Notamacropus eugenii: one gene and its partners. The protein of the gene in region 2 interacts with the protein of the main gene of each other region in a pairwise test. Links are inferred from orthologs where the notes say so. Each region holds a gene or a part of one and is shown on either strand. Other genes may lie near its edges.

Region 1 (7,463 bases), about 330 Mb from region 2:
GTTTTAAAGTTTACAAACTTTCTGTTAACTCATTTCATCCCCACTAAACTCTGTGAAGCAGGAGTTATTATTACCCCAATTTTACAGATGTCAAGGCATAGCATGGTGGGGGTAGGTAGATCAATAAATCCATTTTCACATATTTTTCCTGCCTCATCCTTGAGATTTTAATTTCTTGATAATTTTTAGCAATTATGAATGTGCATTGTCATAATTGCATATTATGATTGGAATAAAGGGATAGGTTGGGGCGAAAATCTAACTAAAACTGAATCTGGAAACTTTCCTGAACCTCGAAGACAAAGCAGTTTAAAAATGTCCCCTTCTTTTTTTAATCATGTTTCCCCACTTATTGGTTTTGTTCCTTAAGAGCAACAGTGAAAAGTGTTTTAAAAATATTGTTTAAAAAAAATCCATCTCTATTACTTCCTGGAGCAGAAGAACCTGGAAAAACCAGAAATCTATAAAAATACTCTAGAAGTGGGCAGGTATAAGAAGAGTTCCTAGACTGTTTGTAGAGTTTTGGAGATACTTGGGATCTCACCAAGTTGCACAGCTAAGCAAAAAGGATAATAATAGCTAGCATTTATATAGAGATGCAAGATTTGTAAAATACTTTACAAATATTATCTCATTTTACTTTTGCAACAACTCTGGGCGTTAGATACTATTGTCATCCCTATTTTACAGATGAGGAAACAAAGACAGACAAAAGTTAAGTGACTTGTCCAAGGTTCCACAGCTAGCAAGTATCTGAGGCTGGTTTTGAACTTGGGTCCATCACAAAAATAATAAACAGTAAGTAAATTCACTGAAGCCAGAAATTTTATGAGAAGTGAAGACTCAACTAAAATCAAGTACTCCTTAGCCATTTGTATTTCACAATCCAGTCTTCGACGTGACAGTATATCAACAGATACTTTCTTACCCCATCCATGTGGATTCGGGCATTGGGAGTCAGTCGGTATGGACTGGGCTGCGAACCTCTGGGATCTGTCCTGGTTTTCCTGCTTGGGTCCTGAGAGGTCAGTATGCCAGGTCTTCGAATGGAGCCCATTCTCACCATGCTCTGACCCGATCGGACGCCATCCAGGAGACGCACCAAGAGCAAGTTGGCTGGGAGCTCCTCAATACCACAGAAGACAAGGGTTCTGCATTCTGGGCACCTCAGTTCCTTGCGTGCTTTGAATATCCTCTGTAGACATGGTTTACAAAAGGTGTGCTGGCAGGGGAGGACTTTGGCTGTGACATCGAGCTTTTCAAAACACACGGGACACTCCAGAAGATCAAGTAACGCCAAATCATCCATCTTATTTTAAAACTCCAATCCTGGCCTGAATGGACAGAGTCCACATGGTAAGGTGACCTGAGACAAGAGTGGGGGATGGGGGAGCAGGTCAGATCAGTCCTCAGGAGAACACCAGCTGGGTCCTGGATTTCAGAGAACCTCGATGTCTGAAGAAAAAGAGAGGACAAAAAATGTGACTGCTTTGAAATGTATCCCACCTACAATGTGAAGCAGTGCCTCATAAGGCAATTTGCAAGCGTGTACTTTGTTCCCGGCATCTAAGTTTCAAGTGAGTCGTGATTTAGTAATAGCAGGTACAGCATTGCCTCTCAAGCCTGCAGCAAGAATCTGAGGGGGGCTTTCAGTTGGGTGACAAGTAACCGGAGTTTTAGAGGGAAAGCCAAAATCCAAGGTGAATAATTCATATTGAAGTGTCTATGCTAATTCCTACCTGTAGATGGAAGCTAGAGGTGGGTTGGGAAGTACAAACCTGCCTCCGTCTCAGTTCTGAAAACTTTTAACTCACAGCAGAATCAAAACCTCTTGGAGGATATAGATCTATGACCTTCTTTCCTCATTTTTCTAGGCATGTGTTTGATAATAAGAGGCAGCTTGCTTTAGCAGATAGTGGGCCAATCTTAGTCAGGCAGTCCTGCCTTGGATACAAACTCACTTTGTGCCCATGGACACATGGCATTCTATTGGGGTAGGGTAGGGGAAGCATGCAAATAAGTACAAAATAATTTGGAGAGAAGTGCGTTATTAACTGAGGGATCAGGAAAGGCCTCTTGTAAAACTAAATTACTGAGGAATTGCCAGTAAAGGCTGTTTCCACATCCGGAGTCCCTCACGATTCTGCCCTTCGGATCGTCTCCCCCGCCCCCCAAAAGTTAATTACAAAGCAATATAGTATGCAGTTGTAAGGTTAGCATCTTTTAAATACGTTAAATACGTTTCTTGAATGAGATTTCTTAGCAATGCATGGGAAACCTTTCACCTAGCAACCTGCTTCAATTACAGTTTTACCCCACACTGCAAACTGGTCACTTTAAGCCTCCCTCTGCTTACTTAGCACGATTATCTAAGACAACCGCAGAAGGCAATATTCCTCCCACAACGGGAAGTAACTGAGCCTGTTTAGCTACTTTGACAACACTTGTTTTAACTGAAACAGAAAGGAATTCTGGACTGTTGGCCACAACTTGCAAAAAGCAAGCCGAGTCCAGAGTTCACAGGTGTGATTTCGTGTGTGAGTGTGTGTGTGTGTGTGTGTGTGTGTGTGTGTGTGTGTGTGTCTTGAAAGTCAAAATCCCAAGCCTCAGAAATCCCGTCCTTGCTCCTGATGGGCGTAATGGCCCTCCCCAACTCGCTAGGGCTAAGTCTCTCTGAGAAGTCCGACGCTTGTCACGCAGACTAAGCCAGGCTTCAGCGCTGGTGCCTACTGAGTAATTCTTGGGAAGGAGGCGAAGAAAGGGTGGCGGTCAGCCCCCTAGCAGCCAGAGAGACCTTAAATGCAGAGTTGGCTCTGGGCACTCCCACTGCTCCCCCGCTCCCCTGCTTCCCTCAAAGATGCCAGGCTCTGGCTCGCTCCCGTACGCAGTCAGCTCCAGCCGGAGCCTGCACTAACCTCACGCCGCTGACCTTTGCCGAAGAAGCTCAGCCCCAGTGTCTCGTGTCTTCTCTCCGAGCTGCAGCCGCCTTGAAAACTTTAACAACTATGTATGTTACTCATTTGGATGGCTCGGCTTACTCATCCAGCTCTGTTAACGCTTTCGCCGCCGGGCTGCAGACGCTCGGCAGGTTTCGGGAGGAGGAAGCACACTCCCTGCGGCGCAGCCCATTGTTTTTTTGCCGCCCTGCTTATTTCTGGGAAAAGGCGAGATTGGGGAACAAGATTAGGAGGGCGTCAATAACAGCGAACCCCCGGCACAAAGCACGTGTATGGTTTGCACGTTCACCTTTTCCACTCGCTAGTCTAAGAAGTTGAAACATGTCTCTGTCATGATCAAAGTCAACATCATTCCCTTCATTTGAAACCTTGAACCCTCCTGAAGGTTTCCTCAGAATGACCCCCACCCTCCCCTAATCCCTATTTGTAATAACATAAATGCACGTCCAGGATTTGACCCATCATATAATTGCGCCAGCTGGAAGAGATCTTCCAGGTCAGCTTGCCTGATACTTTCATATCCAGATGAAAGACCCAAGAGAGGTGAAGTGACTAGTTCACGGTCCGTAGTTAATGACAACTGGAACTAGATCCAAATTGTCTTTACTTCCAGCTCAGTGCTTTTCCCATATTACACGCTCTCACAATATAACATTATAATTCTTCCATTGTTTAAAAAGTACATTAAGATAAATACATGGGAATAGACAATGGACTAGGGTGGAGTGGTTATTTTAGTTTTTCAAACTTTGCCCAATGTTGTTCTGAAAAATATCCACCCAAAAGAAAATGTATTGTAGATATGGAGTAGAACCTGAATATTTCTGAGCATAACTTTTTTTTTTTTTTTTTTTTTGGTTAACCACTTTTTGTTGTTGTTTAGTTGTGTCCAACTCTCTGTAATCCTATTTGGGGATTTTCTGGGCAAAGACACTACAGTGGTTGCATTTCCTTCTCCAGCTCATTTTACAGATGAGGAAATAGAGGCAAACAAGGTTAAGTGACTTGCATAGGATCACACCGCTATTAAGTGTCTGAGGCTGAATTTGAGCTCATGAAAACAAAGTTTCCTGATTCTAAGCCCAATGCTTTATCCGCAGTGCTACCTGGGGGTGCAGTGGATAGAGAACCAGTGCAGGAATCAGGAGGACCTGAGTTCAAATCTCACCTCTCACACTTGACACTCACTAACTGTGTGACCTTGGAAAAGTCACTTAACTCACTGCCTCAAGGCAGTGTCACTGCCTCATCTTGGGTCATTTCCAGTAATCCTGATGAACATCTGGTCACTTGATTCAGATGGCTCTGGAGGAGAAGTGAGGTTGGTGACCTGCACAGCCCTCCCTCACTCAAAACAAAGTCAAGTGCAAGTCATGTCATCGTTTCTCTGATGGCATGGTCTTCTTCGGCAATGAAGAACGAACACACACACCTAGCTGTCTTAACCACTTTACTTCATAGCTAACCAATTTTGAGAGATATTTTTCTGTTCAATTTTATAGATTCCTATAGCGTTTTTATACATATATCTCCTTTTTAAGCTCCTGCTTTGCCCTTATCACCTTTTCCAAATAATTGCTGGCCTTGGCTTGTTGTCCTTTGGAAAGCCACGTGAAGTTACTGGCTTTTACCTCCCTTCTACTCTGTTCCTTACTCCATAAATTTATAACCTGTTCCTTCTCCCCAACTCCCGATCTATCTGGCAGCTTCCTTATCCAAACAAATTTTTTGAAAGATGCATGTGAACATTGTTTTCTGTTTTAATGGAAAATGTAACTCATTCTTGGGGGAGGAGGTAGGACCAGACCAGTGATTTCATTAGGGCAAGGAAGGTCCCTGTGTGAAAACTCCCTCTTATAGTCTTAGAGAGTTGTCTGAAGGCATTGACAGGTTAAATGATTTGTCCCTGAATCACAGAGCTAGAATGTACCACAGTCAAGACTTGCCATGTCTTCCTGGCTCCAAGGCTCTATCTCCTGTGCCACATTACTTTTCATATGCAAGCATTTATCTTTTTTATTGGAGCAGGAGAACTTCCTCTTTTGGGTGAAGAATTTGCTCTACTGTTGTTGATCAACACCTTCTTTATAGTTTATGGTCTTACAAAGTGACCTGGTTATTCAAGTGACTTATCCAGGGTCATATTAGTCAGAGACAGGACATATAGTCAGTAAACATTTATTAAGTAGCTACTTTGTGCCAGGCTGAGTGGCTGAGTGGGTAGAGTGCTGGCCCTGAAGTCATGAAGACTCCTCAAGTTTAAATGTGACCTCAGACACTTACTAGCTGTGTGACCCTGGGCAAGTGGGGAGCTGAAGAAGGAAATGGCAAACCACTCCAGTATCTTTGCCAAGAAAACCTCAAATGGGGTCACAAAGAGTCCGACCCAACTGAATTACAACAACAGTATACCAGACACTGTGCTAAGCAGAAACATATGTATAGATACACATTTTCACATACATATGCAAACCTTTGTATTATACTATTTATATGCAAAATGTGAGACTTCTCGCTTCTCTTCTTCCTCATCTCCCTCTGTTCCATCCTTGTCATTTTTAGCAGTACTTTTCCTGTACAAGATTATGTTTTTATGCTTTCACTGAAGAACTCAAAAGATAAAATAATTCATAAGATGCTTATTAATTATCATCATTAGCAATATTAATACCCCTTATTGATAAGGAACTTAATATTGCCAGTGCTGGAATTCTTTGCATTTTAAAAGAAGAAACCTGGTGAAAGCAATACTGTACTCAAAGGAATTAATTGCCATTGGTGGAACTGCAGACATCACTGCCAGAGCAGTGAACATCATTCAGGAGAAGCAGTGGGTCTTCCCAACGGTCCCTATAATATACCATATAGGTGACCATCTGGCATACTTTGGGGATGACTAATCCTGACTGAAACCTTGGGAGGGAGTTCTGTTGGTAGCTGCTCCTTTATCTTCAGAGGCAGGAGGATAGTATTAAATCAGGATTTCCCCAGTCTTCTTAAATGCTTATTTGGCAGCAGTTCAGATGAATATCTAAAGAATATAAACAAACCAACAAATAAAACCCCACAAAGTGAACTTCTCCAGACTCTAGGCTCCTACTTCTTTTTTCCCTCCACTATACATGTAGCCTGTTGTCAGCAGTTGTGTTTGTAAAGATATCGTTGGCTATATGTAGTATACTTAAATATATATGTATATGTATATATACATATATACATATATATAAAACACTTGTACCTGCTGTTTATATTTGCAAATATACCTCACTTTATGTAACAGTCAAGTTCCTGAAAAGTTATAGTCCAATCTGAATTTTAGCAAATTTTTTTTAAATCAGACCAAACTTTATGTTCATTCCTTGATTGGTCTTTCATTGATAGTTGCTTTCTAATACTTCAACTTCCCTCCCCACAGCTCTGAGCAGCCAATAGGTACTCAGCTATCATCACTTAAGTCCATGATGATCATACAATGACAGAATCTTAGAATCAAAGAACCTCAGAGCTTAGAAGGGGCCTCAAGTCATGTAGTCAATCAATCAATAAACATTGGTTATTTTCATCACTCTTCATGATCCCATGGACTATATAGCATGCCAGGCCATTCTATTCTCAACTGTTTTTCGAAGTCTGTCAGGGTTCATGTTTGTTGCTTCTATGACACTATCTATCCATCTCATCCTTTGCTGTCCCCTTTTCCTTCTATCTTCAAGCTTTCCCACCATCAGGGTCTTTTGCAATGGATCCTGTCTTCTCATTACATGGCCAAAGTATTTAAACTTCAACATTTGAACTTCCAGTGAATTGTCTCAATTAATTTCTTTAAGTATTGACCGATTTGATGTCCTTGATGTCTAAAAGACTCTCAAAAGTCTTCTCCAGAACTATAATTGGAAAGCATAAATTTTGCATCATTCAACTTTCCTTACAATCCAACTCTCACTGCCATACAGTGCTACTGGAAAAACCATAGCCTTAACACTACTGACCTTTGTCAACAACATAAGGTAATGTCTCTGCTTTTTAGTATGCTGTCATCTATATCTATCTACCTGTCTATCTACCTATCTATCTATCTATCTATCTATCTATCTATCTGAATACATACATACATACATATATATATACATATATATATATATATATATGAATAAAAAATCTGACTCTGCTTCCATTTCTTCTACCTCTATTTGTCAGGAAGTAGTGAAACCAGTTGTGAAGATCTTAGTTTTTTTGATATCAAGTCAGTTTTTACACTCATCTCTTTCATCCTCATCAAGAGGTTTCTTAATTCTTTTTTTATTTCATCATTTTTTTTTCAGTTGTGTCTGACTTTCTGTGACTCCTTTTTGGGGGTTTTCTTGGCAGAGATGCTCCAGTGGTTTGCCATTTCCTTCTCCTGCTCATTTTACAGAAGAGGAATCTGAAGCAAACAGGGTTAAGTGACTTGCCCAGGGTCATACAGCTAATGTGTGAGGCCAGATTTGAACTTAAGAAGATCAGTCT
Region 2 (7,489 bases):
TCAAAGTTCAGCCATGAGTCATAATTGGGCCAAAGCCATTCAGATGACTTCTCACCTAGAAGAAAAAAATTTTCACAGCCATGGAGTGCAAACCTAACCCACCACAATCCCACAAATATTTCTATTATTGTAAACAAATAATCAGAATTTAGGAACTACAACTATCCTTAGAGGCCTAGTCTAAGCCCCACACGTTTTCAGATGAGAAGGGTACTGAAAATTAAAGACTAAGTTACCATTCCAAGTCACTCAAGACAAATTAGACTGCCAGAGTCCCACCTCTGGATTCCTCCAGTCAAAGCTCTTTTCACTGGGCAGTACTTCCCCTCACATCTCACACCTTGGCAGCATAATTATCAAATGAGATGATTTTTATAAAGTGTCCAACATGTGGTAAGCACTTAACAAATGCCCACTCCCTCCACCTACCCACCACCTTCCCCTCTCTTTCAGGAATTTTTTTTTCCCTCCCAGGTGAAAATGTTCCCCTCCTCTTCACAAACTAAAAGTTCTTATGTTAAGAACACATCCATGAGGGACCAGCTGAGACATAATCAAAGTTTGATGTGGCCAGGGGTTCTCAACACTCCTCCACCCCCATAAAGGGTCAGCTCTGGCAAGTGCTACCAGAATGCAAAGGTTCTAAGGATGGACCCAGTTAAGATGCTGTTACACTGCAAGCCAAAACCCAGAGACCTCAACAAGCTGGTAGCATTGATTAATTCCTTAGCAACGACTGAAAACGAACATGGAGAGAAACTGCAATCCACATTTATGGAAGGAGTACCAAACTAAAAAAATTATACTTAAAGTATGAGTATTAAAATACATCTCAAGAATAATCATGTTGTGGGTGTATATTTGTCTGAATTTTGCCCCAGTTTACCAAAAGTGAAAAAAAAAATTTAAACCTGACCAAAGCAAAAATCAAGGCTAAGATTCAAAAGAGCCAAATCAGTATACCCAAAAATAATGAGGTGAGGCAAAAAGTCAGCTATTAAAATCACTGAAGGAACTGTTTTGAGGCTCTCTACAGATCCTTCCATTTCTAAAATTCTATGATTGTCTTTCCAAAATTCAAAGTAGGTTACATCTTGATTTCTTTTCTGAAACAGACTAAACATAAACAATCAGTAACTCAAAGATCCATGTATCTTATTTAGGGAACAAAGTTTCACAAGTTTCTTTATACTTTAGATTTAATATTGTTCCAATTCTAAAAAATTCCACCAACATAACTTCTAGTATACTCTTCATACAACCATAGAATGTAATCCTCCAATGAGACTACTGAGCTAAGACTTTACAATACACCAATCTAAAATGTGAAAACTGAGCATGAAAGGAAAAACCTAGCCATCTGATATTCACACCTTTTAACACACTGTCTAATTACAATCAGTCTTGTTAGGCACCACAGTATTAAAGTGAGTTATCCCTTCTCCAAATATGCTGTAGAATAATAGTTCAGAAACTGGAAAGTGCCTTTACAGCTCTGTTCAAATAACATTAAATATTCCCCAATCTCATCAAAATTATTTAAATTTGAACTGCCTTAGAAACCGAAACTCACAAAAAAAAGTATTATCTGACAGAATACTGACCAACAGTATAAATATAGTAGAGAAGCTCAATAATCACAGAATCAATCGATAGTAATTTGACTTTCAGGTATTTAATTATATAAATCCCGATGCTTTTATAATTTATCCAAATTCCTTTTCTAATACAAACTCTGCAAAGTCAGTGGTGGGGGGAAAAAAAGCAAAGGCAAACAGCTAATTTTCTTTTTTTTTTTTTTAAGCATAAAGGTTTTGTTTGCAAAGCCCAACTGAAGAAACTGAGGGCTTTGAAAATGTACAAAAGTGGGTCACAGACACGTGGACTGTTTACAATACACAGAGCATCAGGTGAGCTGGAAGAGAAACGCAGTTATCTGTATGTTTGGGAAAGAAGGGGGGGAGGTAGGGAGAGGGTCATGAATAATTCACTAAACAATCTTCTCCAGTCATTTCAGGGGGGAGGAGGCGGGGAATATTCCGTTTCCCAAATGACTCCCGATCTCAGGCACGGCCTAGGGTTTCCTAGCTGCACGGCTTCGGGTCACTTCACTTTCCCCTCTCGAGGCCTCAGTTTCCCCGCCTGTAAAGTAGGGGTACTGGACCAGCTCATTTCTAAGGGCCCTTTTTCACTTCACAAGCCATGCTAGGGAAGCCTCCTCCCCTTCGGGCCTCAGTTTCCTCATCTGTAAAAGAGGCGGAGGCTCCCCCAAAAGGGTCTCGATCCCTTGAGCCCAAAGGGGAGGCCGCCTCCCTGCCCGGGTCTCAGTTTCCTCGTCTGTCGAGGAGGGGGCTGGGCGGGACTCCCGGTCCCTGGGGCCGCCGCCGGGCCCGAATCCTGGGCTGACCGCCCAGGAAGCGGCCGCCGCCGCCGCCTCCCCCACCCCCGCCCCGGTATTCGCCATCCCCAGGAAGCGAGCGGCCCGAGCGAGGCCGCCGTTGGCAGCAGGGCCTGGCGGGCCTGGCCGGGCCTACGCTCCCGCTCCCGGCGGCGGCGGCGGCGGCTCCGGTCCGGGGGGGCGCAGCGAGGCCCGGACCCAGACGCACCGGGGCTGAGGCGGACGCCGGGCCGGGCGGTGGGAGCTGGAGCTGGGCCCGGCCAGGCCCGGAGAGGAGAGCAGGGGAGAGGCGGGGGAGGGGGAGATCTCGCTCTCGCTCTCGCCCCGCGGGAAGGGGGGGGAGGTGGAGACGCGACCGGCTGCGGGAGCTGCAATTACCGTGTGGGCTGCGGAATTCTCGTGGTGTTTGTCGGGGAGATGCGATAATGGCGTCCGTCCTCGCGAGAGGAGCTGCTGCAATGCGCAGGCGCCGCGATTCCTTCCCCCGCGGCGATCGTCCTCCCAAACCTGCGCAGACGCGTTACCCCCACCCGCCAGGAGAGGGAATAGGAAACGACGCGCGAGCGCCGGCCTCGTCCCTTATCTTCGTGCGCGCGCTTTCACCTTAACCTGATCCCGCTCCCTTTAGTCACTACTTCAGTCAGAGCGCATGCGCACCTCTTCCCAGGCTCGTCCCGTTTTGATTTTCCAGGACCCACGCAAGCGTGTGCTCTCAGCTTCTTCAGCCGACTGTAGAAAAGGGCGGAGAGTGTCATTTAAATGGACTGATGAAATAATTTGATTTATTGGCTTTTGGCTTTGTTTACTGCTGTCGTTTCCCACTCCCAACCCCCACCCCGAAAGAACCACCAGGGCAATACTACAAATCCCAGGATGCATGGCTCTCGGCATAAGGTGCATCCTGGGACTTGTAGTCCATCTGTGTCATTATGTTAGAGAGCATGCTGGGATTTGTAGTCTGCTCATCCTGGCCCGTTTTCCCACTGCATGGAATGCTGGGACTTGTAGTTAAGTTAATTTAGTTATTAGATGCCTCCAAAGTGATTTTCAGTATTTCCCTCTGTCCTTCCTTTACCCTGTATTTAGACCTTTGGAGGCCTTGTCTGGAAGCAGGCAGGCAGATGATCAGATGACCTGGGTCCCTTGATGGAGATCTCTCTAATTGGTGAATTTGTCTGGAAGGCTGCACCTCTTTGGAATTAATAACCAGTCAGGGATGTCAGCATTTGGGGCCAGAGAAATCAAGGACCAACCTCCTAAATTAACAGAGGAGGAAACTAAGACACAGGGATTTTAGAAGTCATTCCAACATTATATAGATGGGATGACCTCCATTTTTTTTTAAAGGTTTATTACAATCTTGGCCACAAAAACACACATGTACACTCTATACTTTTCAAAGGCATACTTTTTACAAAACCACTTTTTTCCCCTCAAAATTCTTCTCTGTAACCACTTTACTTTTCTGAAAAGGTTTTAAGGTTTTAATTTTATACCTTTTTAAGAGACCCTAGTAAACAGTCCTCTACTGGCTTGTTTTACAGTGTAGGTACCACTAGTTTTGTATATAAATTTGGATGTCATCTCTCTCATTAGATTGTAACCTTCTTGTGGACAGGGTATGTCTTTTGCCTATTTTTGTGTCTCCGACATTTAGCACAGTGCCTGGTACATAGGTGCTTTGTTCTCAAAGAGGACCATGTTATCAAGATGATGATATGACTTCCAGTTGACTTGGATCTGAGTGAGGGAGAGCTGTGCAAGCCCTGGATAAGTGTTAAATGATTGATATTTAACAGATTTCATGCTATTTCATCTGCTCTATGCCAACCAACACACTCTGCCATCTTCTCCAAGTGTTTGAAGAACTGTCAGTGTACAAGTCTTGTATTGCCCTTCAACATAGGTCAATTGGGAGAAATTTCAATATGATCTGATGCTGAGCGAAAGGAGCAGAACCAGGAGAACTTTGTGCACAGCAACGACCACAGTGTGCGAGAGTTTTTTCTGGTAGACTTGGATCTTCATAGCAATGCAAGGACATTAAAAAAAAAAAAATCCCAGTGGTCTTCTAAGGCAAAATACCTTCCACGTTCAGAGAAAGAACTATGGAATTCAATTGCAGAAAGTAGCAGATCATTTGTGTGTGTGTGTGTGTGTGTGTGTGTGTGTGTGTGTGTGTATGTATTATGTTTTGGTTTGTTAGATGATTTCTCCCATTTATTTTAGTTCTTCTACACAGCATGACTATAATGAAAATGTATTTAATACGAATGTATGTGTAGATCCTATATAGAATTGTATGCTGTCTTGGGGAGGGAGGGGGATAATGGGGAGTAAGTAGGGGGAAAAATCTAAGTTTTATGGTAGTGATTGTAGAGCATTAAAAATAAATAAAATTTAAAAAATAAAATGAAAAAAAAGAAATTTCACAGTTGAAATAATGAGCTTGTCTTTACTCTCCAGCCCAAGTGCCCCTTTCTATAAAAGACTTCACTGATTCCCACTAGGTGTTAATGCTCTTTCCAAACTGATGACAGAGATTTTTGTCTTTGCAGTCCTAGCAACAAGCACAAAGCTTTGAGCATAATAAGCATTTCCTAGGTAAATGCTTGGTCAATGGAATTGTAGAGGAGATGGATTTTTTCTTCTAATTTCTGCTGAGTCACAAGATGAGGAATGGGCCGTACATTTTCAGACACTAGCCAATGTGGGCATTTTTCCCACTGGACTAGGCATATTGTTACAAGGGATTCATTATTTTATTCCAGTGGGGGTATGGGGATGAAAGGATGAAGATGGAGATATGGATAGAAAGGAGGAGAGAAAGGAAAAAAAATTTTTTTTAATTTTAATAGTGGAAAGAAAAGAAGGTAAACCAAGCAAGCAGGACAAGCCTTAAAAGCTACAGGTTGATCTTATTATAGACTTTAAAAGAAAAGTCAGCTGTATCCTGTAGTTTCAGGTACAATCTTCTTTTTCTGTTCTAAAAGGTATCTCAAAAATCTTAGTGCAATTTAAATGTCCATTCCATTTGATGTTTACTAAGATTATAATAAAGATAAGAAGTAATTTAACATCTGTTGACAATCTAGATGCCCACCCCTCACCCCCTGATTTATGTCATGGCATTCGATCTTTCTAGTCTTAATGACTCCTAGCATACAGACTTGGCACCTTAATTAACTGCTGACTTATCCCCTACTCCAACCATCCTATGCATCATTACCACTCAAGCCCTGCAAGTCCCTTGAGGAACCAGGGACCCTAAAATTTCATCTTGGAAATTACAATCAAGAGAAACTTTTTCTCAATCAATATATTTACTATGCCTTTGGAGAGAGTGCTAAAGCTTTCCTACGCTCATTAGATTGTAAGATCTATTAGAAGAGGGAATGTCAGGTTTTTTTTCTTTTTTAAAATGTCCAACCACGTAGCACAATGCCTTATGCATTGTAGGCATTTAATGAATATTTACTGGATTTAATTAAGCTATTTCCTGGGTGACTTGGATTTATTAGTTTCTTTCTCTGGTCTTCCTTTTCTCTAACTATAAAAAAGAAATATTTGCTCTAACTATACATTACAAATTGCCTATGAGATATTTCTAGTTGGGTATCCTATAAGCATCTCAAACTCAATATGTCTACAACACAATTCATTATTTTCCCTCCCAAATCCACCCCTTTTCCAAACCTCCTTCTTTCTAGCTAGATTACCACCATCCTTTCAGTTACCCAGAAGGAGATGACAAAAATCTCTCCAGTATTTTTGCCAAGAAAACCCCAAATAGGGTCATGAAGAGTAAGACATGATCAAAATGACTGACAACAAAAGTCCCAACTGACCGTCTCACTAGCCTATTCAAGAAACTTCAATAGCTCCCTCTGACCTCTAGAAACAAATCTAACCTGTGGCATTTAAGGTCCTTACCACGAGATTCTCACTTACCTTTCCAGATCTACTGGAAGGCAGGGACTGTTTGTTCCCCTGCTCTCCTTGTATCCCCAGTATCTAACACAATTCTTCCACACAGTAGGTACCTAATAAATGCTGTTGGTTGATTAGATTATTTCTAAGTTCCTGAATCCTATCATCCTATAAATTTTCAATGCAGTTATATACAATGCCAATTCAACTAAACTCTCCAAAACTGTCAGATTTTTGCTTACTGAAGCCTTTTCAGGGATAATTGGTCATAAGGCTCTGTCTGGTCTCCATGGGAAATTTTCAATTAATGTTAGCACTGATTAATAACTAAATGAATGAATTTTTTAAAATTTGACTAAGTGCTTATTATGTGCTAAGTACTGTACTAACGGCTGAGGATACAAATACAGAAGCTTATATTACAATGGGGGAAAACAGCTTAGCAGAGTGGTGACAAGGGATTACTGTATGTTGAATGGGATCATAGGAGAGAAGATTGGACTGATCCCATCCAGGAACAAGGTTGTTGTGTTTGTCCTTTGTTGCCAAAGAAGACCATGCCATTAGAGAAATGGTGACATGACTGCACTTAACTTTGTTTTGAGTGAGGGAGGGCTGTGCAAGGTCATCAGCTTCACTTCTCCTCCAGAATCATCTGAATCCAAGGTCTATTCAGGTACTCACCTAGGGTGAGGTAATGCCCATTCATTGAATAAGTCTGTTTAAGAGGTAGCCAGGGGTTGGCCCCTTTAATGAGGCAAAGAAAAATGAAGATATCAGACTGGGAGGGAAACAGCAACACTCTGACCCAGGAGGGTCCAGAGGAGAGCCCTTAGACAGGTGCCTAGTGTTGTCCAATGGATGAGCTTCAGAGTGCAGTAGGTTTAAGGTTTTGGGAAAGGAAAGGAGAGAAGAGGAGAGGAGAGAGGAGGGGAGAGGAGAGGAAAAATAAAGGAATCAAGCCAGTAAAACAAATATATCTTCCTTTGGAGAGGAGAAGGAAGGGGAAGGGGAGACAGACAGAAGAGGAGGAGCTGAGTTACCTAGCTAGCTGAGTCCCCATTCAGGCAGCCTGGGTGGGCTTTCCTGAAATTGTAATCCCAGAAAGACAGTCATCAGTCAGGCTGGTTAGAATTCACATGAAAGTCCTTCAGGGTATAG
Region 3 (7,288 bases), on a different chromosome or scaffold from region 2:
GATAATTGTTCTCAGAGAAATATAAATATTGAGCATATTTGTGTGAGTTAATGAATTCTGGCACGATGATTTCTTTATGCCTTGGTTAAAAAAAAGGCTTTTAATTAAACTGCCTCTTCTGACCTTTTATGTGTATGTACGTGTGTATATAGATGTGTGTGTGCATGCAGTACCACTCAGTGTAAGAGTATCATACAGAATAAATACACTTACACAATGAAATTTACATTTCCTTTTATTTGCCTTCATCAGCCACCAACAGACATATGCACACACCCCTTCTCCAAGTAATAGATCAAGCTGTAGATATGAATGAGAACAGATTTCATTTGGGGGTGATGCTGTAACACTGTGGCTGAGCCTCTAGGTTAGATTTCTTTATAATGAGTTTCCTTGTTTATATCTTTCTCCCTGTTCTTTAAAACTGGCAAGTATTTTTGTCACTATGTGTATGTGTGTATCTATATATAATCTTTAACACACACACATACACAAAACAGGACTCTTCCCTTTCCAGAGAGGTTTTTTCCTCCATGCACATTTAAATTAATCCTCTTAGGGGAGACTGTCTATATCCTGGGAAGAATGGTGTGACAAAAATTCCAGAAAGTTTTTCCCCTCCCTACAGTAGCTGAAGATGTAGGTGCTTGATATATAGATATATATGTCACACTGGGCTGCTGTCTTCTTTGACAGAACTACTGGATACAAAACAGACTGAACGCCAACTTGAACTTTCGGCATCAATAAATATGGCACCGTCTGTGTCAGTGAGGTTCTCATCCGTACGTGTATCACTGAGCAGACACGCCGGTAAACCCTGGAGGCATCTCTATTTACAGAAAACATGATCTATGTTGCATTTTACATGGGTTCTCATTTCCTGCCTTTCACAAGCATATATACACACTCCAGAGGATGACAGCTCCAACTGCAAGGATCATAAATTCACGAAGGCTCTCTTGCAAAATGGGAGTGGGGAAGGAGGGTGGGTGGGATTATCAGCCTTGGACACAGCCTGGTGGTCTTCCCTTTCTACTCCCCCGCCCTCACCCTAAGGATCAGTACCTTTTGCCCAACTGTCAAGCTAGCCTTTTCCCCCTCCCCCCTCCCCTTTTCTAAACTCCCACGACCCCCTAACGGTAAAGGACTGCTGGGTCGGGGGTAACGCGACTCGCCCTCTGCAGGAAAGGGGACCCGCAGACGCCAGGCAAGGACGCTTACTTTCCAAGCTCCTCGAAAAGCTGATACTCGTCGGTGAACCTGGTGCAGGTTGTAGTTGAGGCCATCATAGGTCCGAGCTGGCTCCTGTCGAAGAGGGAGGAGGATGAGACGGGACGGGAGGTGCTGCTGCTTGCCTGGGACCGGCCCCTGTGTCGCTATCACCCCCGAGCCGTCTTCCTTCACTTTTCTCGTCCAAAAAAGTGGCTGGATCTGGACTTGGGGGGGAGGGAAGGTAGGAAGGGTGCAATGGGAAAGAAAGAGTGCCGTAGGGTCCCCTCTCCACAATCGTACAATCCTTCTGCTCCCGCTTCCTTCTTTTTCTTCTCCGGCTCTGGACGCTCCACCCTCCCTCTCTGCCACCCCCACTCCCCAATTGGAGGAGGGGGGAAAGTATTATAGAAAAGGTGCCAGGAATTGGGGGTGGGGGGTGGAGAGAGAAAAAACTCAGCCAGCCACGGGGCAGGAGGCGAGCAGTTGCGAAACGATATGAACTGGGGACAAGGAGTAAAGGCGGAGGGGAGGGAGTGGAAGGGTGGAGAGGGGGTGGAGTGGAGTGGGGAGGGGGCAGGGGAAGGAAGAGAAGCCCGACGGAGACAACTCCAGTCCAGTTGCAGCTGTCAGCAGCCTCAGTCTCTCCACTCCAGTGGGTGGGTGGGTGGGTGGGTGTGCGCGAAGGAGCGCCAGAGCAATGGGAAGCTCGGCTCCTCTGGCCGGCTTCCCCTCCCCTTCCCCGCCCCGCCGGTGACAGCCGACGGCCAGCTGGGGTACCTATGCAGCTCTCTGGGAATGGAGAGGAGGCACGGCACCGAGCGCGCTGGGCACCCGGGGTGGGCAGTAGCAGGGCGAGCACAGTTCAGCCTCAGCGTCTCTGCTGTCCCCCAGCCCCTCCTCAAGCTACTGCGGGGCCACCCCCTCTTCTATGCCCCCCTTTTCTCTGTCCCACACCTCCCTCTAGCGACACAACCCTCTCAGCACGCAATGTGTGTGTATGTGTGTGTGTGCGCGCGCGCGCGCGCTGGGAAGGAGGGGTATACCCAGGCAGAGAGTGCAAAAAGATTAGAAAAGACGGGATCACACACACAGTTTGAAATGGTCTGGGGAGGAGGAGGAGGAGGGGTACGCAGGAACAGGGTCTCTGCAAACAGGTCTGAAGAGACAGACCCACAGACAGGCAGATACGCCTTGTAGTAAGGGAAAGGGTCTCCACACCCCGGGAGCGGCCGGCCAGGCAAAGCCAACTGGCCAAACCGGCCAGCTAGCCCTTTAACCCTCCCAGGCGGGGGTGGAATGAATCGCCGGCCGCGCGGGGAGGCCCTGCACAGCCCCCCTGCACCAAGCTCCCCGGGGGCGCAGAGCGGTACGAGCCCCCCTCCCCCGCGCTGCTCCGCACGATTTCCCGTGCGCCCTCAGAGTCGGACTATAGCAGGAGCCATGTCCCGGCGGGATCTCCCCGGGGGCAGGGGCCAACGACCCGGCTCCTCTGTGTACCCTAGTGCTTGGGTGCCCACCCGGTGGGGAGCCTTGGCATCCCGGCTTCCAGCTCGGAGCCAGCCCAAGGCCGGATGCAGAAGCGGCCGGGATGCGGAGCCGGGCTGGCTCCCACGCCCCAGCCAGGAAGGGGTTCTCCCTCTTCAGCTAGCCCAGGGGACCCCCGTTTCCAGGCTCCCCCGGCCGCTCTTAAAGGTGCAGGTGCGGACACCACGCCTGCACCTCCTCCACTGCTTCCCACAGCGAAGCCTGGGAATGGAGCGTGCATCAAAGGCCCCGGGTTGCAAACGGAGGTGTGAACAAAGACTTCACGCGCCACCCCGCGCTCAGCCGCACCTTTCCCTTTCTCTCCCTGTCCTCCCGGGAAGGTCTAGGCGCTGGGAGCGCAGGTTTCTCGCGAGATCAGTCTGTTTTTGTGGCAGAGGGGAGGGGTGGGGTAGAGTAGGGAAGGTTGTCTGTCTATCACGGGACCCAATGGAGGCTGACGTCATTTGCATCACATGAACTTGTCCAGCCTGTTTCGATTTGTAAAGGAGAAAAAAAAAAGGTAGGGCGCTTATGTGTGCTTGTGTACTCAAGAGTCCGGAGAGATAGCAGCCTTTACGTGTATTACACAAATGAATAGTTGAGATGCATGGATACCAATACGTGCGATGGGGCATTGCCACATTCTGGCTTAGTCTACATGCAAATGAAGACGTTGATGCCTATATATGAGCTATTTAATTTATGCAAAACAATCATTAGCACAGTAGCTGCAATTTAAGTCCAGTGGATAGCATGACAAACTGAACGAAATGACTTCTGGGTTTCCCTTTCTAGTTCTTTTAACTCCATAATAAGTATGGCAATTGCAAATTCAAAGGGAATGAGAAAAAAAAAACAAAAGGTTAGTGGTCATTTTGTAAACGAGTCCCTTTTGTTACTTCAGCCCAGATTCAGGAAAAATTGTCAACCACAACCACCTCCCACCGTAACTCCATACTGTGAACGTAACTGTGGACTTCTCAATCATAAAATGTTATAGCTGTAAAGAGATCTTTTGCAGACTGAGGCCAGAAGAGGTGAAATGTTTTACCCACAGAAACTTAGCTGTCTAAACAAGAAAATCCCAATCCATTGCTCTCCTGTATCACAATGATATCACAACAGTTGGAATAATACATTTTGCAAACCTTAAAGTGTTATAAAAATGCTACTGTTATCATCCTCATGACTGAAACATGTTTGATTATGTCATGTTCCAAAATCTTCAGGGACTTCTTGAAGGGTACAACTTTAATTATTACAACATTTATACACCTTCATAGTCTGATTACAGTTTATCTTTTCAGCCTTATTTTATGTGATTCCCTTTCAGACATTGTTCAAGCTAAGCTGGATGACCTAAACTCTTCCCCATCTCTTCCCATTTGTAAAGCGATCATCCATACCTAGAAGGCAATCTCTTCTGGTTCACTACTCATTCCAATACTCCTGTTCCTTTGAACAGGAGAGATCCTTAGCAAAGGTGCCTAACCCAAACCAAGTGGTGCTTCATAAATGCTTGCTGATGAATTGATTGACTAAGACAAAACTCAGATGCCACCCTGCTTCTACTTTATAGTGTTTTTTTAATTAATTTATTTGTTTTCAGTTTTCAATGATCACTTCCATAAGTCTTAAATTTCTCTTCCTCCCTCCCAAGATGGCTTGCAATCTTATATGGGTTCTACATTTACATTCTTATTAAACACATTTTCCCATTAGTTAAGTTACATAGAAGAATTAAAATGAATGGGAGAAACCATGAGAAAAACCAAAACAAAACAAAATGCAAGAGAAAATAGTCTTCTTCATACCATGTTTTTAACATCTTCGTCTTTCTTAGACTACTGTCCAGCTGGCTTCCTTGCCCCCATCACACTCAACTTTGTATTACATTTATTTCTGCACATGGTGGATCTCCACTGCAATGCTGTAAGGTTCTTGAGAGCAGTGACTGTTTCGTTTCTGTATTCCCAGTAATGAGCACCGTGCCTTTCTAATAACTGGCACTACTGAATAAACAGTGTTTGAATTGGTTTGCCTAACAATTTGGTGTTCCAACTCAGTACACCAAATGCCATTCATTTTTCAAAATATAAAGACTCCCACTTCAAACAAATCCCCATACCCATAAAATAGTTTGTGCTGTACATTCCATGCTGAAAAAATCAAATGTAAAGTCACTGCATTAAAATGTAATGCTAAGAAATGAAAACATGATTAAAAGTAAAGAAGATGAAGGGAATTAAGTCAATATTTAGGATGTGAAATGAAATCAGCCAGTCATACAAACTAATTCAAGTAAAATATTTTAAATATTTTAGTTAAGAAAAGAGCCTATATCACTTAATGAAACATTAGTTAAAAACAAAAAAGTTTGAAAGCAATAATTAAGAGGAATGTTTGTAAGGCCTTATAACAATCAAGAAATGTAATTTTTAAAAAGTATACAATTTATGAAACCTACACAATGACATCATTTTTCTCAACTCCTTAAATTTCAGCAATTTTAACACTATGAGGTTTGTATTGCACTATAAAAGACAAACAAGTTTTAATTATGCCATACCAGGAGAGTAGGAAAGCATAAACAATGTCCATATCACGTCAGTCTAAGCCAGGGGTGAGGAACCTTTGGCCTTGAAGCCATGTGTGACCCTCTAGGTCCTTGGATGTGGCCTTCTGACTAAGTCCAAGTTTTACATAACAAATCCTTTTATTAAGGGGATTTGTCCTGAGAAGTTTGGATTCAATCCAAGGACTGCACTTGAGGACCTAAAGGGCCACATGTGGCCGGAGACTGAAGGTTCCCCACTCCTGATCTAGGCAAATTCATCCTATCCCGTAATCCGTATTTTGGGATGTTTCATTTTTGTCTTTTTATCCTTAGGTTTCAGCACCATTCCATGCATATAAAAGGCCCTTGATTAGTGTTTGCTGATTGCTTAATTCTGATATTTAAATGAATCTTTGACCTCATTATTGAAGGTACTCCCCTTCAATGGTACAAATTGCAGCCTATCCCTGCTGTCTCATCCTGTGTTACTGTCTATATTCTTCCATGAATCATTCATGGGTTATCTATCCCCCTTGCTAAAGATCTTTCTCTGTCTCCTTTACTCGTCTGTGTATTAAAATGTAATACTTAGTCTGTGCATGTGTTATATCACTTGTTCCATGAGTGGTAGGTTTCCTTTGCCCATCATACATGTCCTTGATAATGTCTTTTGTACCATTTCTTTCACTAGGGCACCACATGGAACTTTTTCGTGTTTGAGAACTTATGTTCCATTGGCATGGCATTCAAGGTCCCATAAAACATCCAAGTAATACTACTAGGGGAGTTCTTTGTTCTAGTTTAATTAAAAAAAAAAGATTCAGTCCACTAAACAAATATTGCAAATAACTTCTGGAGACATATAAACTACAGTAAATAATCAAAGCAGTTCGTAGTCCTACTTCAATTAAAAATGGAAGATGAAATGCAAAAAAAAAAAAAGAAAAATCACATAAAATGAGATAAAGGAAAATGTCACAGAGGTGACATCTCACTTCAGTTTAGAAGTCTAATGATGTGGAATCATCACACTTTTTTTTTTAAACTTGACTTCATCAGTGTGACAGGAAACACTCTTCTCTGATGCTGGTCCACAGCCCATCTCTAACTTACAGCCTTAGAAAATTGCCTGGGAAGGAGAGAAAGAGAGTAAACATTTTTTAAGAGCCTACTATTTGCCAAGCCCTGTGCTAAATGCTTTACAAATATTATTTTATTTCATCCTCTCAACAACCCTGGGAGGTAGGGGATCTAATAATTGTCATTTTACATTTGAGGAAATGGGCAGACAGAGATTAAGTGGCTTGCCCAAGGTCACACAGTCAGTAAGTGTCTAAGGCTAGAATTTGAACTCTAGTCTTCCTGACTCCAGATCCAGCACCCTTCTTTGACACCTAGTTGTCTGGGGATGCTGAGAGGATAAGTGGTTTGCCCATCGTCACAGATGTAGAAGAGTTGGGATTTCATCTAGGCCTTCCTAACTCCAAGGCTGATCTTCTAACTTCTATATCATGCACTTACTCACAATTATTTTAGGCCTACCTGAATTGTCAAAACAAAAGATGGAATGTTTCCTTGGCTGTTTAATCTTCTTGGTACAGTAAGCACTCTGGTCAGGATCTTAATTGGTGAGATCAAGAATTTAATTGAAATGGAGTCTAAGTTGCCCAGTGATTCTTGGCTTCTTTAAACCAGGACAAAGATACAGTAAAGATTAGTATTATCAGATTTATAAAATGGAAAAAGTGATGATCAAGTGATCTAGATTTGGGAGTAGAGGGTTGGAGTGGAGGATGAGGGTTAGGGCAATATTTGAGGAAAGGTTATAGTACGATACAATAGGGATAGACTTGTGAGCTCCAGAATTAGTGGGTTCCCTGGGAATGTGGCCCTCACACTAGACACTGTATTTGATAGATTTCTATACCAAGGTTTGAATTCTCCTTTTTCTGGGTTACTTTTGATTCTCTCTATGGAATTATTTTGAAGACT
Region 4 (7,507 bases), on a different chromosome or scaffold from region 2:
GATGAAAAGGACAGACCCAAAGTATATTCACTTTGCCATTTTAAAAATGTGTGTGAGGGTTGCAGGGAAAAGGAAGAACAGTTTAGATGTATAAAGAAAACAGGGCTTATCCTCAAAAGACCTGGTGTGAGTTATAGTTCTCTTTCTTTAACCACCTGTCATGACCTTGAGCATCTATCTACTATCTCTGAGGCTCACTTTTTTTCTACTATAAAATAAGAGGTTTGAACTAGACTATCTCCAAAGTCTCTTCCAGCTCTAAATCTTAAAAACCTATGATCAATTCAGCATTGAAACCACATCTATCAATAGTGATTCATAAAAAAGTAGAGGCAGCATATGAATTTAGGACACTGATTCACAAATTATTGCTATAATCTAATAAGAAATTCACAGATTTCTAAAAAGCAGAGTTATCTGTTCAAATTAAGTTTATTCTAATAAAATGTGAAGAGTCATTTGGCACTAAAATGTGAATTATTTATTGATCACATAAGAGCTATGAGAAACTTCTTTTACCTTAGTGGTAAAATTCAGGTAATAAAACATACATACGGATATACACCAGAAAGTTTTTTTCCAAAAAAGAAACATGTCAATATCTCATTTTTTGGTCACATAATCAAAAGCAAGAACAAAAAGGAGTTATTATTTTTCTTCTAGAGGAACTCAAATACTCAAGTAACAATTACCACAATGATTAATATAAATTCTACTAAGCATTTAGCATCACACCATACTACTAAACCATATTTCTGAGATGTATCAACAAATGCTGTCCAAGCAACACTGACTTACACAGTACAATAACAAATGTTATCACAAGAAGACTTCATGAAACTGGTAATATTATTTAATAGCATCAATTGTTTATTTTGCCTGATCTTCAAACCCAGGCTATTTTCTCCTCGAATTTGTAAATAAACCATCATCTAAAGTAACTAAAATTAAACAAACTTTAATTAAAACTAAATGTAATGCAAATTTAAAATAAAAAAGAGCAACAAAATAAAAAGGAAAAACAAAAGCTGTTCTTTGAGAAAACAAGCATTTAGCCACCCAGGAGTTTGGGACATCCCATTATCTCCCTAAAAATCATGTCACCATTCTGCATTAAGTGACAATCAGAAAAGGATTCAGTCAATACAGACAGCCTAGATGTAAATGACAACTGCTAAATTTCCTCCAAATCCTTCCTCCCAGGAACTGAAAGATCCCCATTAACCTTCAGATACATCACACTCCACGTAAAGTGAAAACTTGTAAGCCATTGTACAAATTTCCCACTTAAAAATCACACCAAGTCAGCTCAGGGGTGAAATACCAGTGCTAAAGTTTATGCCCGTGGTTCTCCCCTTTACCCATCTTCCACCACTCAGAAAAGCTTTATTTTTCCCCCCTGTTCTTATTCCCACCAGGAATCTGACTATTGAAACCTCAGGAGAGGCACCTCTAAGCCTTAGTGACTTCATCTTGCCAAAAAACAAAGAACACAAAACACAACAACTCTCAAAAACAAGTCACAAATAAAGTTCCTGGACTGATAAACTGAAATCCTTATGAAAAACATGGAGACCCTATCAAGGTTATTTATTTATGTGCATAAGCTAATAATTTCTTTTATCCAAAAAGGTGCACTTTAACACAAACCAGGCAGTACCGAGTAGTGGGGTAGAAAGCTTGTCTATCTACAGAAAGATTTCATGCTTTAAGGGAAGGAAATGTTTTCGAGTGTGTAACTTGCTCTTTGTTTTCAAAAGTGAATTCTTAATAGACTTTATAAGAAATCTATAATATGTGCTGTGCATATTTTTTTATTCTCTGGGTACTTATCGCTTTTGGTCTTCATGGAGAGTTGCTCAAAACTCCAAGGAAAAATTAAACTCAGAAAAAGAGGTTCCTATTCATAAAAGATTCCTATCTTTTTTTTAAAAAGCCAGTAAACCTGAGCTCAAGCCTCGGACCTAGAGTGACCGATTCAAGACTGCCTCGGACACAGATCGCCAACCTCTCGAGAAGCTAATCAGTTCTCTGAATTGATAGGTATAAGTAAGCAGTGTCAGAGGGAGTTGTCCGTCTGTCCATCCACGCAAGATCGTAGCCCCAGAGCTGAAGGGTGCACAAGGGGGTCCTAACCCTTCCCTGTCATTTCCCAGGGCAGGACGCAGGGAGCTGAGTTCAAGGCTTCGCTCGGGGGATCCGGACAAGTCACTTTCGCCGATCGATGGCTCCGGGGAACTCGCTAAGATCCCAGTTTCCTATAACTCCCAGGTACAGTCGGGGTGGGGGAGGTTCCATTCCAATGAAATCACAGCCCCCCCCCCCAAAATCAGCCGCTTGACGCTCCCCCAGCACCCCAGAGAAACAGGTGCTGCTACCACCCTCGCGGGCCACGGAGGTGATCGATCACTCATGCGGACTGATTGGTTTGGAAGGCGCCGAGCACCGCGCCCGGTATACAGCAGGGTCTAACTCAGTGCTCGTCGCCCGAGTGGGACGCCCCAAGTTTCCGGGGGGCAGGTCGGGATCCCCCCTTTTTTCGGAGACGCCCTCGAACTTCATGGTGGGCGGCCCTGGGCTGGCGGGGGGTTAATCAGTAACCGCGGCCGCCTGCGGAGCGAGGCCGGGGCCCGTGGGAGGCGCTCCCCGAGCCCGCCCGGCGCCGCAGGGCTCCTGGGGGAAGCGGCGGGGCGAGCGCCCGGGCTCCGTGGCCCGACGCGGGGAAGGCCCGTGGGCTCCAAGGTCCGGCTCCGCGCGCCGACCCCTCCGCGGGCGCCTCCTCACCGCAGCCGGCCGCGCTCCGAGGGGCGGGCGGAGGCGGAGGGGGCGGTGCTGCGGCTCGCGCTCCCCGCTCCCTCCCCCGTCCTCCCTGAAGCTGACACTCACCTGACCGAAACCCCCGCGGAGAGGCTCCCCCCCGCCACGAGCCCGCCCGCCGGGGCGCAGGGACCACGGGAGGAAGCCGGATCCGCAGCTGCCCCGGCCGACGCCGCTCCGCTTCTGGCCCAGCTCGGCGCACTGCGCTGGGGGGAGCAGTCGGAGGAGCCGGACACTGCGCCTGCGCCGCGGGGACCGGAGCCGGCGAGAGGGACCCAACTCCCCACCCCGCCCCACCCCGCCCGCACCTGACTCCCCTTTCCCCCTTAAAGTGGAGAGGCAGGACGGCCGGGTCGGTCCGAAGGGCCGGCGCGCCGCGGCGCCCCCTAGCGCCCAGAGGCGTCCCCTGCGCGCGCCCCGGGCACTGCAGGTTCATTGGGCCGCAGGTGTCTGGGGCCGGGGTGGTTTCCCCGGGAACAGTCCCGAGTCGGCGCAGAGCTGCCTTGACTCGGGGCCAGACTCGTCAATGTCACCAGCGTGTTCGAGTCCCAAAAAGCCCCCGAAGGCGCTGGGCAGCTGGAGGACCGGGGCTGCTGGAAAGGGACCTGCCGCGTGGGCTTCTCGGAGTCGGAGGGGACACGCGTGGAAGGGGAAAGTCGATTCATTCCTTCCCACCCCCATCCCTGCCTTTCCAGGAACTGCTTGGAGGAAACTGTGTTGTTTTTAAAAGCGGCTCTTGCCTTGAAGGCTGACTCCCTTAAACTACTACAAGGTGACTGTTCCGAGACTTCCAAATGAGAGAAAAAAAAAATGGAAATTGCGAGAGGGAAAAAAGAAAATAAAAGTAGCCATTAAAAAAAATTCATATATGGGGGTGTGAGTCCCCGAAGGCTCCATCTCAGGTTCACAGATCTAGTAGAAGAGACTCCAGAGGTCACCGAGCTGGCCAAGCTCACATTTAGTTTGCGTGACTAGTATCAATCAATCAGTCAACATTTATTAAGTTCCTACTATGTGCCAGGCACCGTATTAAGAGCAAAGCATACACAGTAATGTGCACAGAGTCATCGATCTAGTGGAAGAAGGGAAGAAAACAAGTATTTATTTGTTATTGTTCTATCAGGTTTTCTTGGCAAAAATACTTGAGTGATTTGCCATTTCCTTCTCCAGATCATTTTACAGATGAGGAAACTGAGGCACATTTGGGTTAAGTGACTTGCCCAGAGTCACACAGCTACTAAGTTTCTAAAGGCAGATTTGAATTCCGGAAGACTCCAAGCCCAGCGCTATATTCAGTGCATGACTACAATGTATCAAGTGCATGACTACAATGTATCAAGTGCTGTACAGATAACTCACTTGATTCTCACAGCAACCTTACTTAGGAGGTAAGTGCTCTTATTATCTCATTTTACAATTAAGGAAATTGATATAGACAAAGGTTAAGTGGCTTGCCCAGGGTCACAGAGCTAATAAGTATCTGAGACCCAATTTGAACACGAGTTTTCTTGACTCCAGGTCCAGTGCTCTATCCGCTGTGCCACCAACCGCCTCCACCAGGAGTTTCTGAGTCAGTCAAGAATGAAGTCAACAAACAGAAGAAAAAGAAAAGAAAGTGATATGATAACTTTATTATATATTTAAAAGGAGTAACAAGTTGTACATAATAGATTTGCAGTTTCATGTACAATCACCTTTTTCCCCCATTCTACTGTGTTATGGAAATGTTTGTTTTATTTAAGTTCAGAATAAAATAAATAGTTTTTTAAAAAGACATACTATGTGCCAGACACTATGCCAAGCACCAGGAGTACACCAGGAAAAAAAATCAATCCCTGTTTAGTCAGAGGCCAGCTAGTCCAACCTCCACATTGTACATTCCATGAGGGATGTGAAGGTTCTGGGCTCAAATTAATTTATGTGACTCATGCATTTATTAAGGATATTATATTGATATAAGATCATACACAGCCAGAAGGGACCTCAGAAGCCAACAAATCCAACCATTTCATCTGACAAGAGGCTTTGGCTCTAGGCTCACATATATCTAATGTGACTCACATGTGTATATATATGCATGACACACTACCTTGAAATGTGATGCAATTCAATTCAAACAACACTTAATAAGCAAACAATAAACTAACAATCAAAAAACATTTATTAAGTACCTACTGTGTGCCAGGTACTGTTCTGAGTACTGAAGATGCAAAGACCAAAATAAATCATTGTGATAGAATTCTCACCCATGAATGTTATATATATTACTGAAAGCATGGTGGGTGTACAGGAAATGGTAAACTTTCCTGTGCAGAGAGTTCTGTCTCCAGGCCACTTAGAACCACCTACCATCAGCATGGCCCATTAGAATGCTATGTGGCAGTGATCCCTCCCCTGCTCTTGGATTGCCAGCAATCTGGTGGTGAGAAACCATGATTCATTTTGTTGTTATTCAAGAACACTTATTAAGTGCCTATTAGGAACAAAGCAATTGATGCCTCTGATCTAGCTGGGACAATGCCCCAAACTAACCAGATGACATTTGTTTTGAACAGGATGACCAGTTAGTGGGGGTTTTGTGACAGAGGGGATTGTTGGTTAAGTGTAAGTTAGAATAACTTGCCTCTGAGTTCCCTTCCACCTCTGAATCTGTAAAAGTTGAAATTTAATACTAACAAATACAGCATCCTGCATTTGAGATCAAAATACAAAATATGGAGGAGGGAGAAAAAAAAAATAAAAACCAAGCCTAAGAAATAGGAAAAAAATACACCAAGGTTTTAGTGGTCTGCAAACTCAGTAAGAGCTAGCAATGTGATGTGCCTGACAAAAGAAGTAATTAGGGTTGAGGCTATGCTAAAAGTCCTCACCCTTTAAGAGAGAAGAGAAAAAGAGGGAGAGGGAAAGAGAAAAAGAGGGAGAGAGAGAGAGAGAGAGTGTGTGTGTGTATGTTTTGGAGTATGGGTGAGGGAGCAGAGCAGAGTTTTAACCAGCTACATATACCATAGAAAATTTTGAGGACCTAGCAATGTTTAGCCAGAAGACTTAAGAGGTACAGAATGATTGACAATATTTGAAGGTCATCTAATAAAAAAAGAAGAAGATTTGGAGGTTTGGGGACCCAGAGGGCAGAGCTAAGACCAGTAAGTAGAAGTTAAAAAAAAAAAAAGACAGATTTCAACCCCATGTAAGGAAAACTGTCCTACATATTAGAATTGACCCAAAGTAGAATAGTCATCCTTTGACATGAGTAACTCACCCATAAATAGAGGTGATTAAGCAGAGACTCAGTGGGTTTGTCTTAGATCAACTCTTAAGTCAGAGATCCTTTGGTTCTGTGAGACTCTGATTAGTTAAACTATGGTTGCACTTTGTAGTTTCCATACACAAACATACTAAAATTCTTAACCCCATGATTGGGGGTGGGGGTGGGAGGGTGGAATGGAACCTGAGGTTTCATTGGTGTGAGGATCTCCTGAAAAGGAAATTCCTTCTACCAAAGCAGACTGACCCTTGTTCTGCAACTTAGTCTTAGGTTGCCTGGGGAGCTGAGAGGGTAGTTCATTCCACTTTTGGACACTGTAATTAGTAAAAGTATAATTTTCCATAACAAAGGCTTAAATAAAGTTGAGTGATTTGCCCAAGTTGAGACTTGAACTCAAATCAGCAACAATACAATATTTTCTTTACTATTCTATGCCAATCTACTGGCCTTAAGATGAAGAAGGGGAAAAAAATGACCTAAGAATCAACAAAACAAGTTGCAAATTGAGTCAGGGGTGGAAAGTATGCTTCTTGAAAGCAGGGATTATTGAACTCTTATCTCTTAGCACAGAACTTGGCTCATAAGGTGATAAATTCTTATTGAACTGAGTTGAATTAGAAATTAGAATTAGAAAATAACATTTCTTTCTCTGTTGTGTTCTTTCTGTTAATTCTGATTGATTTTTTAAAGTTTCTTATAGCTGTTTTGTTCTTTCCTTGTTATAATGTGGCAACAATGATTTTTTGGAAGAGTCTGCAAACTGATATTTTAGTACTAGAAAGAAGGAATACAAATAGAGAAAAGAAGAAAAGCTATTCCCCAAATAGATAAGTGGGCAGCAAGGTGGCATTGTGGATAGAGAGCTGAACCTAGAGTCTGGAAGACTCATTTTCCTGAGTTCAAATCTGATCTCAGATACTTACTAGCTGTATGACCCTGGGCAAGTCACTTGATCCAATGTGCATCAGTTTCCTCATATGCAAAATGAACTGAAGAAGGAAATGGCAAACCACTCCAGTATGTCTGCTAAGAAAAACTCAAATGGGGTCACAAAGAGTTGGATGTGACTGAAATAATTGAACAACAAAATAAATGATCAAAGGATATGAGTAAGCAGTTTTCAAAAGAAGAAATGCAAACTATGCACAATCAGATAAAAATGTTTCCAATCACTGATAGTAAGAGGTATGAAAATTAAAACAAACTGCCTTTGTACCTCACACCCATTAGATGGGCAAAAATGATGAAAAAAAATGGTGGTCATTGGAGTGACTGTGGGAGGGATTCACTTCTGGTGGACATACAAAGTGGACTGAATGATTCTGGAAAGCAATTTGGAACAGTACTCCCAAAGTGACTAAATTAAATAACCCCAATCAATTGATAGCATGAGTAGGCATATACCCTAAAGAGTTCAAAGACTCA

What was found.
Region 1: the proteins of BANP (region 2) and SH3RF2 interact in binary tests that used the Homo sapiens proteins (3 or more experiments, as listed by UniProt). The two-hybrid records come from large-scale screens. The link is inferred for Notamacropus eugenii from reciprocal best matches to the Homo sapiens genes BANP and SH3RF2.
Region 3: the proteins of BANP (region 2) and CAMK2D interact in binary tests that used the Homo sapiens proteins (3 or more experiments, as listed by UniProt). The two-hybrid records come from large-scale screens. The link is inferred for Notamacropus eugenii from reciprocal best matches to the Homo sapiens genes BANP and CAMK2D.
Region 4: the proteins of BANP (region 2) and RAB3IP interact in binary tests that used the Homo sapiens proteins (3 or more experiments, as listed by UniProt). The two-hybrid records come from large-scale screens. The link is inferred for Notamacropus eugenii from reciprocal best matches to the Homo sapiens genes BANP and RAB3IP.

What each region holds. Positions count from the first base shown.
Region 1 is NC_092872.1:374,989,766-374,997,228, reverse strand, and holds the start of SH3RF2 (E3 ubiquitin-protein ligase SH3RF2), read right to left. Parts: upstream 3,008-7,463; 5' UTR 2,916-3,007; intron 1,456-2,915; 5' UTR 1,310-1,455; coding exon 929-1,309; intron 1-928. UniProt on the Homo sapiens protein: Has E3 ubiquitin-protein ligase activity. Acts as an anti-apoptotic regulator of the JNK pathway by ubiquitinating and promoting the degradation of SH3RF1, a scaffold protein that is required for pro-apoptotic JNK activation.
Region 2 is NC_092872.1:703,794,705-703,802,193, reverse strand, and holds the start of BANP (protein BANP), read right to left. Parts: upstream 3,004-7,489; 5' UTR 2,777-3,003; intron 1-2,776. UniProt on the Homo sapiens protein: Controls V(D)J recombination during T-cell development by repressing T-cell receptor (TCR) beta enhancer function. Binds to scaffold/matrix attachment region beta (S/MARbeta), an ATC-rich DNA sequence located upstream of the TCR beta enhancer.
Region 3 is NC_092878.1:115,955,685-115,962,972, reverse strand, and holds the start of CAMK2D (calcium/calmodulin-dependent protein kinase type II subunit delta), read right to left. Parts: upstream 3,002-7,288; 5' UTR 2,981-3,001; coding exon 2,733-2,980; intron 1,309-2,732; coding exon 1,225-1,308; intron 1-1,224. UniProt on the Homo sapiens protein: Calcium/calmodulin-dependent protein kinase involved in the regulation of Ca(2+) homeostatis and excitation-contraction coupling (ECC) in heart by targeting ion channels, transporters and accessory proteins involved in Ca(2+) influx into the myocyte, Ca(2+) release from the sarcoplasmic reticulum (SR), SR Ca(2+) uptake and Na(+) and K(+) channel transport.
Region 4 is NC_092874.1:247,281,447-247,288,953, reverse strand, and holds the start of RAB3IP (rab-3A-interacting protein), read right to left. Parts: upstream 3,014-7,507; 5' UTR 2,887-3,013; intron 1-2,886. UniProt on the Homo sapiens protein: Guanine nucleotide exchange factor (GEF) which may activate RAB8A and RAB8B. Promotes the exchange of GDP to GTP, converting inactive GDP-bound Rab proteins into their active GTP-bound form.